2 linked regions of the Macaca mulatta genome follow. The protein of the gene in region 1 purifies or fractionates together with the protein of each later gene. This does not show direct contact. Links are inferred from orthologs where the notes say so. Each region holds a gene or a part of one and is shown on either strand. Other genes may lie near its edges.

The links. Proteins that work in one complex are often made in the same cells at the same time.
Region 2: the proteins of PRDX5 (region 1) and PRDX2 fractionate together in Homo sapiens (co-fractionation; 3 studies listed by BioGRID). This does not show direct contact. The link is inferred for Macaca mulatta from reciprocal best matches to the Homo sapiens genes PRDX5 and PRDX2.

Annotation. Positions count from the first base shown.
Region 1 is NC_133419.1:10,078,616-10,083,469, reverse strand, and holds the start of PRDX5 (peroxiredoxin-5, mitochondrial), read left to right. Parts: upstream 1-1,674; 5' UTR 1,675-1,762; coding exon 1,763-1,936; intron 1,937-3,274; coding exon 3,275-3,409; intron 3,410-4,171; coding exon 4,172-4,303; intron 4,304-4,375; coding exon 4,376-4,414; intron 4,415-4,517; coding exon 4,518-4,579; exon of another isoform or gene 4,580-4,799; intron 4,800-4,854. Other genes in the region: TRMT112 (multifunctional methyltransferase subunit TRM112-like protein), read right to left, coding at 405-512, 602-691, 807-908, 988-1,065. UniProt on the Homo sapiens protein: Thiol-specific peroxidase that catalyzes the reduction of hydrogen peroxide and organic hydroperoxides to water and alcohols, respectively.
Region 2 is NC_133424.1:13,355,018-13,359,930, forward strand, and holds the start of PRDX2 (peroxiredoxin-2), read right to left. Parts: upstream 3,018-4,913; 5' UTR 2,903-3,017; intron 2,434-2,902; 5' UTR 2,425-2,433; coding exon 2,322-2,424; intron 2,227-2,321; coding exon 2,073-2,226; intron 1,456-2,072; coding exon 1,333-1,455; intron 1,152-1,332; coding exon 1,021-1,151; intron 1-1,020. Other genes in the region: THSD8 (thrombospondin type-1 domain-containing protein 8), read left to right, coding at 3,235-3,382.

The DNA.
Region 1 (4,854 bases):
AAGCAGGCTCCAGCCCCTGGACCCCTGGGGTGGCCAGAGCTTCCCCATCAGCTCCCATCCAGCCTCCTCAGGGGGTAGGAGAGCACTGCCTCTAAGCCCTGCAGAGCAATAACACTATATTTATTTTTGGGTTTGGCCAGGGAGGCGCAGGGACATGGGGCAAGCCAGGGCCCAGAGCCCTTGGCTGTACAGAGACTCTATTTTAATGTATATTTGCTGCAAAGAGAAACCGCTTTTGGTTTTGAACCTTTAATGAGAAAAAAATATATAATGTCGAGCTCAAGAACACTGTGTGTTTGGTGTCATTGGGTCAAGGGTTGGGGATATACACGGCAGAATTTGGAAACAGGGTATACATCAACAAAAACATTAGTCATAACAAGAAAAACTGGCGCCTGGCACAATCAACTCTCAGTTTCCTCTTCACTCAGCAGCATGTTGGGGATCCCGCGGCTGATGGGGAACATACGTCCAGACTCCGGGCACTGCAGGGTGCCCTCTATCACTTCCACCTGCGGGCGGGGAGGGACAGAGCTGAGCACTGGCAGCCTCAGTGAGGGAGGCAGGTGGCCCAGGAAGCAAGTGATGGGCCGCTTCTCACCTCCAGCAGCAGATGGTGCATAGTCCTCAGAAACTCTTCATTCTCCTCATATCCCTCAACCGGCCCTTTAGGCACCTGGATCAGGCGCAACTGTGGGCAAGAGTCGAAATTATCTCCGGGCATCCCGAACTCCCGCCTCAGCCCGGCTGAGGTGTGCCCGCCCCGCACTCCCCGGGATATGCTCGGGCGGGGTAAGGATCCTCACATTATCGGCCGCTTCCAGGAACGCCGCCCACTCCACCTTAGGTATCATACGCGCCACGAAGTTGGGGTTGAACTCCACAGGGCAGATACGGACCTCAGTGGCCTGGCAGGGCGGAGGAGTTTAGGCAAGCACTGGACCCTGGCCCACCATCCCACCCGAAAAGGGAAGCCCGCCGTGGTACCTGGAGGCGCAGGGGGAAGCCACGGGACCCCACCCCCCGCACATGCGAGCTCAGCAGATTGTGGGTGAGCAGTTTCATATCGCCGAACAGGCTCTCGTCAGGCCGGAACCGGAAAGAGGGCGTCCTCCGCTTCGTCACTTCCGGGGATGCTCCACTCGATGCTATTGGATGGCCAGGAGAACGGGAAGTGGCGAACTTACTGGAAATTCTCGTGCTTGCGGGAGCTGAGCTAGGTAGGTGAAAGACCTGTCGGGTCACGCGCCACTACCGGAAGCGTCTCAGCAGGAGGTTCCTACAGCGCACGCCCAGCTTTTTTTTTTTTTGCACAAATCCGTCGTATCATGCAAATCATATGCAAAATAGCTGCAATGCAGGGGCTCTCGTTGAATGCAAAATAAACATGTTTTACTCCTACACAGGCGCCTAACACCGTCGTCTTCTGTACCCCGCTTTCGGCTAAGGGGCAGAAATACTGCCCTATCTGTAAATTAGACCCGTGGAAGCCGAGCGGCACCTCATTCTTATATGCAAATTAGCTGCCCCACTGCCGAAAGCTCTGCCCAATTTGTAATTGCGTCTGCTGTCCAGCCAGCCCCCGAGGCAAATGAGGCGAGGGTCCCGGAAGCTCTGTTACACGCGTGGCCGCTCGCGCCTGCGCAGTGGAGGCGGCCCAGGCCCGCCTTCCGCAGTGTGTCGCAGCAGTGCCTCCAGCCGTGCCCCGCCTGCTGCGGTGGCCCCAGCTAGGGGGCGGAGTGAAAGTGGTCTTAGGGCGGGTATGGGACTAGCCGGCGTGTGCGTCCTGAGACGCTCAGCGGGCTATATACTCGGTGGGGCCGCCGGTCAGTCTGTGGCAGCGACAGCAGCAGCAAGACGGCGAAGTGAAGGAGGGTGGGCGTCTGGCGGGGTCCGCAGTTTCAACAGAGCCGCTGCAGCCATGGCCCCGATCAAGGTGACCGCTGGCCCGGCCGGGCCTGACATCCCCCACTACCCCCATGCCAACCCCCGTCGCGCTGGTCTGGGAATATCGCCTTATTTCCTGCCTGCCAGACCCCTCCCCGCCGGCCGCCCCGCTCATCCCTTCAGAAGGCCCTCCTGGCTGCCCACCCTTCTCGCCAGTCGTGGGGACCTCACCTCCCGGGGCAGTTCCGAGGCATTGTTTCTTTTTTTTTTTTTTTTTGAGATGGAGTCCCTCTGTGTCGCCCAGGCTGGAGTGCAGTGTCGCAATCTCTGCTTACTGCAATCTCCGCCTCCCGGGTTGAAGCGATTCTACTGCCTCAGCCTCCTGAGTAAGTGGGACTACAGGTGGGAGCCACCACGGCCGGCTACTGTATTTTTAGTAGAGACGGACGGGGTTTCACCCTGTTGTTCAGACTGGTCTGGAACTCCTGACCTCAGGTGAACCGCCCGCCTCGGCCTCCCGAAGTGCTAGGATTACAGGTGTGAGCCACCGCTCCTGGCCTGATTTCCCATATCTTCTGAAACAGCTGTCCCTTAGTGCCCCCGCCGGGGCTTCCCCCATCCCGCTCCGCCCTCCCCTCCTCCCATGGCGAATTCCCACCTTTTTGCTTGTCTTTCACTCACCTCCTGGAACCGTCCCCGGGGTCTTGGACCTTCCCCCTTCTCCTCCCAAACCCTGTGAGACCCCATTCCCTTTCTACTTCATCCTGCTGCCAACCTTTGGGCTCCTCAGAGACTCCACCACCTCAGACACTCTCTCCCTACCCACTCTGGCCCCATGAAGCCCTCACATACTCCAGGGGCGGATCCTTCCCCCTTCAAAAGATTCCTTCTTTTGTTGTACCCCTCCTGGGTGTAGGGGCCTGGACAGCCTCCCCCAGTGTTCCACCTGCCGCTGCCCTCCCTCTTTCTCCTCTTGAGGGTGGGACCCTCAGACCTGGCCAAGATCCTCTCCCTCCATGTTGTCAGGGACTCCTCCTCACCTCCAAATACAGCCCTCTAGCCCCTGCCCATTTTATTCCACTCCTTTCCTGTAACAGACAGCATGTTATGTAACCCTTTGTGACACTAGGGGAAGCCTTCCCTCCCTTTCTCTGTTGTCACCAATGGCCCCTTAAAAGGAGCAGGGCCATCTTGAAACCTAGAGGATATGGGGTAACCCGGTGTGAGCGGGCAGGGAGGGCCCTTGGAAACTCTGACAGGGCTGGAGCATCCTGCTGGGTTTCAGCCCCGGCTCCTGAAGGCCCGGCTGCCAGGCGCTCTGTTCACCTTCCTGCCTATGGTTTGCCCCGCTCCCTCACCCCCCTTACCTTGGAGTCCTTCCCTCTAGGTGGGAGATGCCATCCCTGCAGTGGAGGTGTTTGAAGGGGAGCCAGGGAACAAGGTGAACCTGGCAGAGCTGTTCAAGGGCAAGAAGGGTGTGCTGTTTGGAGTTCCCGGGGCCTTCACGCCTGGATGTTCCAAGGTGAGGCCCTTCCCCTTCTGAAGTTCAGGACCTGGGATCTCTTGTGTTGTTCTTAAGTCCTCCACATAGTCCTGACAGGACTCCTAAAAAGCATTTCAGTGCCATCAGAAAACAAGTAGAGCTGGACGCGGTGGCTGACGCCTGTAATCCCAGCACTTTGGGAGACCAAGCTGGTGGGTCACGAGGTTGGGAGTTCAAAAGCAGCCTGGCAAGATGATGAAACCCTGTCTCTACTAAAAATACAAAAAAATCAGCCAGGCGTGGTGGCGAGTGCCTGTAATCCCAGCTACTGGGGAGGCTGAGGCAGAGAATTGCTTGAACCCAGGAGGCGGAGGTTGCAGTGAGTGGAGATCGTGCTACTGCACTCCAGCCTGGGCGAAACAGTGAGACTACGTCTCAAAAAAAAAAATAGAGACTGCAAAAAGGGAACAGTACCAGGAATGTTGAAGAAAAACATATTGCAATTAAATCCAACACCCCTGTTGGTCCTGCTAAATGACAGGCACTTTGGAAGGTGCTTGGAACTCAGATAACTAAGACATAGTTCTGCCCATGGAAAGTTCACGTCTGGACCATAAGGCATTAGGTTTCATTCTGAGCTTCCTAGTGGCCAAGGCAAAAAGGAAATAGAGTGGTTTAGACAGCTCTCATTGTCTGATCAAAGGTGTTGAGGCAGAGCAGTGAGGAGGGCCTGGAGATGAAGGGTGGGCTAGGGGGCAGATGCAGTTACCACTTTGCCAACCCTTTGTTCCCCTTCCCCAGACCCACCTACCAGGGTTTGTGGAGCAGGCTGAGGCTCTGAAGGCCAAGGGAGTCCAGGTGTTGGCCTGTCTGAGTGTTAATGATGCCTTTGTGACTGGCGAGTGGGGCCGAGCCCACAAGGCGGAAGGCAAGGTGAGGTGTGGGGCCTGCAGGGAGTCAGGGCCAGGTAGGATATTCTTCTTGTGACCTTTCCTTTCTCTGCAGGTTCGGCTCCTGGCTGATCCCACTGGGGCCTTTGGGAAGGTGAGTGTTCCCCTGACCACCACAGGAACATGGTCGTGTGGGGAGCAGTGGGGGCCCTTGGCCTCTTCAGGGATTTCTGATACTTTTCTCTGTCTCTTCTTAGGAGACAGACTTATTACTAGATGATTCGTTAGTGTCCATCTTTGGGAATCGACGTCTCAAGAGGTAAAAGTGGAGAGTCCTCTGTGGGGGAGAGTCCCCTGTGGGGAGGGTCCCCTGTGGAGAGAGTCCTCTGTGGGGAGAGTCCTCTGTGTGGGGGAGAGTCCTCTGTGGGGGAGAGTCCTCTGTGTGGGGAGAGTCCTCTGTGTGGAGAGAGTCCTCTGTGGAGAGAGTCCTCTGTGGGGAGAGTCCTCTGTGTGGGGGAGAGTCCTCTGTGTGGGGGAGAGTCCTCTGTGGGGGAGAGTCCTCTGTGGAGAGAGTCCTCTGTGTGGAGAGTCCTC
Region 2 (4,913 bases), on another chromosome or scaffold:
CTGTGGTCTCGATCTCCTGACCTTGTGATCCGCCCGCCTCGGCCTCCCAAAGTGCTGGGATTACAGGCTTGAGCCACCGCGCCCGGCCTGAGACAAGGTCTTGCTGTGTCACCCAGGCTGGAGTGCAGTGGTGTGATCATAGCTCACTGCAGTCTCGACCTCCCAGGCTCAAGCGATCCTCCGGCCTCAGCCTCCTGAGTAGCTGGGACTATAGGTATGCTTCACAAGCCAGGCTAATTGTTGCCCAAGCTGGAGTACAATGGTACGATCTCGGCTCACTGTAACCTCCGCCTCCCAGATTCAAGAGAACTCCTGCCTCAGTCTCTCAAGTAGCTGGGATTACACGCACATGCCACCATGCCCAGCTAATTTTTTTGTGTTTTTTTTGTTTTTTTTTTTTTTTTGAGACGGAGTCTCTCTGTGTCTCCCAGGCTGGAGTGCAGTGGCGTGATCTCGGCTCACTGCAAGCTCTGCCTCCCGGGTTCACGCCATTCTCCCGCCTCAGCCTCCCAAGTAGCTGAGACTACAGGCGCCCGCCACCACGCCTGGCTAGTTTTTTGTATTTTTAGTAGAGACGGGGTTTCACCATGTTAGCCAGGATAGTCTCGATCTCCTGACCTCGTGATCCACCCGCCTCGGCCTCCCAAAGTGCTGGGATTACAGGCTTGAGCCACCGCGCCCGGCCAATTTTTTTGTGTTTTTAGTAGAGACGGGGTTTCACCATGTTGGTCAGGCTGGTCTCGAACTCCTGACCTCAGGTGATCCACCCGTCACAGCCTCCCAAAGTGCTGGCATTACAGGCGTGAGCCACTGAGCCCAGCTCCTTTGTCCACCTTGGTTGAATGTCAGGGGTATTTGTCTTTTACCACACTAGAAACTTCCTGCAGACAAACCCCTGAGCTGAATCTTCTTTGGGGCCCTAACACCCATCTGGACAGGTCAGAGGACAGGCAGTGAATGTTTGCATGAGTGACAGAGGCACTGAGTATGTACCCATGTGTCATGTGTGTTTCTGCTCACCTTCTCCATGCTCGTCTGTGTACTGGAAGGCCTGGACCAGCCGCAGAGCCTCATCCACGGAGCGTCCCACAGGCAAATCATTAACAGTGATCTGGCGAAGGACACCCTTGCCATCGATGATAAATAGGCCCCTGAAGACATCAGGGTTCCCAGTAAGGAGCTGGGAGCTCCCACTGCCAGAGACAAGGAAGGGACTACCAACCACCCGCTGCTAGCCACAGGGCTGGGGGCAAAGAAGACATTGTACCGGAGTGGTTCCAGCTCCACAGGAATGGGGGGTCTCCATGAGCCGGGCTGAGGGTCCCACAGTACCTGTAGGCAATGCCTTCATCTGTTTTCAGCACGCCGTAATCCTCAGACAAGCGTCTGGTCACGTCAGCAAGCAGGGGGATGTTCAGGGGGCCCAAGCCTCCTTCCTTCCGGGGGGTGTTGATCCTGGGAGTAGAGGAGATAGAGTTGGGGCCTCAGGATGCCTGGTACAGCCGGGTCCTCACCCTGTGGGCCCAATGTGATAAGCACTGGAGGCCAAAGATAAGGGGCTTTAAAGTAGGCTGCTGGGAGCCTCACCCACCCCACCCTGGGTTGGGTACAAGGACTTCCCACAGCTGGGAAGACTAAGCTTGAGAGGCCACACTCCAGCTAAGTGGCTTCACATGTGCTTGTAACTTGCAGCATCACCCAGGAGAGAGCCCGTGTTAAGAGTCCCCGTCCTCCTCTAGCTGTGTCATGGGGTACAGCTCTTCACTTAGGTGAACCCGAGTTTCCATCTTTATGAAATAGGGCAGCACAGCCTCCCCCCCGGGAACTAGTAGATAGAGCAGATAAAGTTGCATCTGAGTTGCATCTGCAATTCTATGTGCCAAACAACTAGCTCAACTAGCTGCCAAATGCTAATTACTGCCATCCTTAAAAACTTGGGCGGCAATATTTCCATTATTTTCAAGATGGGGAAACGCAGGTTCCAGAGATTAAGCAATGGTCATGAAGCCACACAGCTCGGACCCGAGGGTGTGAGCTTAGCTGCAACCTCCTTCTCTGGCCCCTGCTCATACCAAGCCAGGTGGGTGAACTGAGAATCCACCGAGACGCCCAGCACTTCGCAGCCCAGCTTGCGGAAGTCCTCGGCACGGTTGCTGAACGCGATGATCTCCGTGGGGCACACAAAAGTGAAGTCCAGAGGGTAGAAAAAGAGGACCACGTACTTCCCTGGGGAGGAGGGACCAAGAGGAGTTAGGGCCCAGCCTCTCTCATGCACGGCCCCGCTTCTGCTTCTACCTGGGTCCGCTCCGGGCTGCGCTCACCTTTGTAGTCCGACAGCTTCACCTCTTTGAAGGCGCCGTCAACCACGGCTGTGGCCTTGAAGTCAGGGGCTGGCTTTCCGATGCGCGCGTTACCGGAGGCCATGACTGAAAGCTGAGACCCCTGTCCGGTCAGTGCGCCCGGGAAGACCCTTTGTCCTCCCACCCCAAGGTCGCGCTGCGTGCTGGGCCCTGTGACTGAGTCAGCACGGCGGAGGCGACAGCACCAACCCTCACCCTCCCGGGTACCGGGTCTGCGAAGCCCAGAGGCTGCCGGAGACCCGCCCTCCTGACCAGAGCACGAGTGACCCAGCCACTGCCACTAGCACCCCACGAGCGAGTGGGCCGGAGCGCGGTGTCGCAAGCCCCAAGTCCAGAAGGAGACAGTGAGGCCCCCTCGAGCAGGGGGCGGGGAACAGGGCGATCGGGCCTGCACTGCAAGGCTGTGGCCTCGGTTTCCCCCGCAAGGACAAAGGAGGCCACTACAGCGGATGGAAAACAAAGGCGGCCAGCACTGAGGTCAGGATCCGGCCAAAGCAGCTTGAAGGGGGTCCTCCCGCCAGGTGCACTCTGTGTGTCTATACCTGCGTGGGCAAGGGCTAGACGCACGGACGATCACACGTGTGGACCCGCGTTCTCAGCGCCAAGTGAGCCCTGGGCCGCGAAGCCTTTTATGCCCGGCCCGAACCAAGATGTGCGCTGCGCAGGGGAGGGAGCAAACGAGCCGAGCGGTCGGGTCCACTGCACCCTCAGGTGCGGGGGAGCGTGCGGCCGAGTCCATGCGCCTGCGGGAGCCGGGGGGAGACGTGTTGCCTTCGGCCGGGACCACTGCACCGGCTCGCGGGGGTAATGCGGCCGCCGCAGACTCCGCGCACAACTCTGCCTGCGAGCGCGCTGGGTGCCGTTGGAGTCGGGCATGGCCCGGACCCCGGCGGCGCTGCTGCTGGCGCCTCTGCTACTCCTGCCGCTGGCGACCCCTGCCCAGGTCTACCAGGACTATCAGTACTTCGGCCAGCAGGGCGAAGGTGACACCTGGGAGCAGCTGAGGCTGCAGCATCTAAAGGGTAACCTCAGGCGGCGGGGGTGACGATGTCCATAGGCTCCCCGTTGCCCTACTTCTCCTGCTGGCTGCAAAGGGACCTTCCTCCGCGGGCTGCAAATCTCCACCCAGCTCTGCACTGGAGGCGTCCCCTTGGGCTGGTTACTGTTCTCTGAGGCTCGGTTTACTCTTGGATACGTTGAAATAGATACTGCTTTAAAGCAGCTCCCAGGGGAAGAGGGTGTGGGTAGGACATTGAAGCTGTCACTCGGGGATAGGTGCCAGGAAGGGCAGAAGCAGAGAAAGAAGGGGGCGGGCAAGCTTGGGAAGTCAGAGAGGGTCCGGTTGCAGAAGACCCGTGACCAGTGCTGCGAGAACGACAAGCGAAAACCCCAAATGGAAAGATTTGGGGAAAGAATGTCCAAGAAAGAGGGAATAGCAAGTGCCAAGGTGAAAAGGCCTAAAGGAGAAATGGGAAGAGGTCGGTGAGATGTGGCAGAGTGGGTGTGGGAGGGTAGCAGGTGTCAGATCTTGGTGAGCCGCGAGTTGGGATAAGATCGGACTTGGAGGCCTGGCGCGATGGCTCAAGCCTGTAATCCCAGCACTTTGGGAGTCCGAGACGGGCGGATCACGAGGTCAGGAGATCGAGACCATCCTGGCTAACATGGTGAAATCCCGTCTCTACTGAAAAACACAAAAAAACTAGCCGGGCGAGGTGGCGAGCGCCTGTAGTCCCAGCTACTTGGGAGGCTGAGGCGGGAGAATGGCGTAAACCCAGGAGGCGGAGCTTGCAGTGAGCTGAGATCTGGCCACTGCACTCCAGCCTGGGCGACAGAGCGAGACTCCGTCTCAAAAAAAAAAAAAAAAAAAAGAAAAAAAAAAAGATCGGAGTTGGGATAAGATCTGTCTCATAGGGGAAAGGGGCAGATTCAGTAAAGAGCTGTTTGAAGTGATCATAGTGGCCGGCGAGGTAGCTCACACCTGTAACCCAAGCACTTTGGGAGGCTGAGGTGGGAGGATCCCTTGGTCTCAGAGACCAGTCTAGCCTGGCCCACATAGCAAGACTCCATCTTTACAAAAAAGATTTTAAAATTAGCCTGACCTGATGGCCTAGCACTTTGGGAGGCCGAGGCCGAAGGACTGCTTGAGCCCAGGAGTTCAAGACCAGCCTAGGCAACATGGAGAGACCCCCTTCTCTACAAAAATAAATAAATAAATAAAAACAAAAAATAAATTAGCCTGCCATGGTGGCATGAGCCTGTCCCAGCTACTCAAGAGGGTGATACAGGAGGACCATTTGTGCCAAGGAATTTGAGGCTGCAGTGAGCCATGATTACGCCCTTACATTCCAACCTGGGTAACAGAGCGAGATCCTGTCTCAAAAAATAAAAATAAAAATAAAAAATAAAAAATAAACCTGATCATAAAAATTTGGTTTGTATATGCTAGCGCAGCACCAGGAGATTTACTTACCTTCATTCTGTCAATTATGCCATTTATCACTTGATAGTCCTGCTGGTCAGTTGGCATTGTGCCTGCTTCAGGGCCATGGTCAC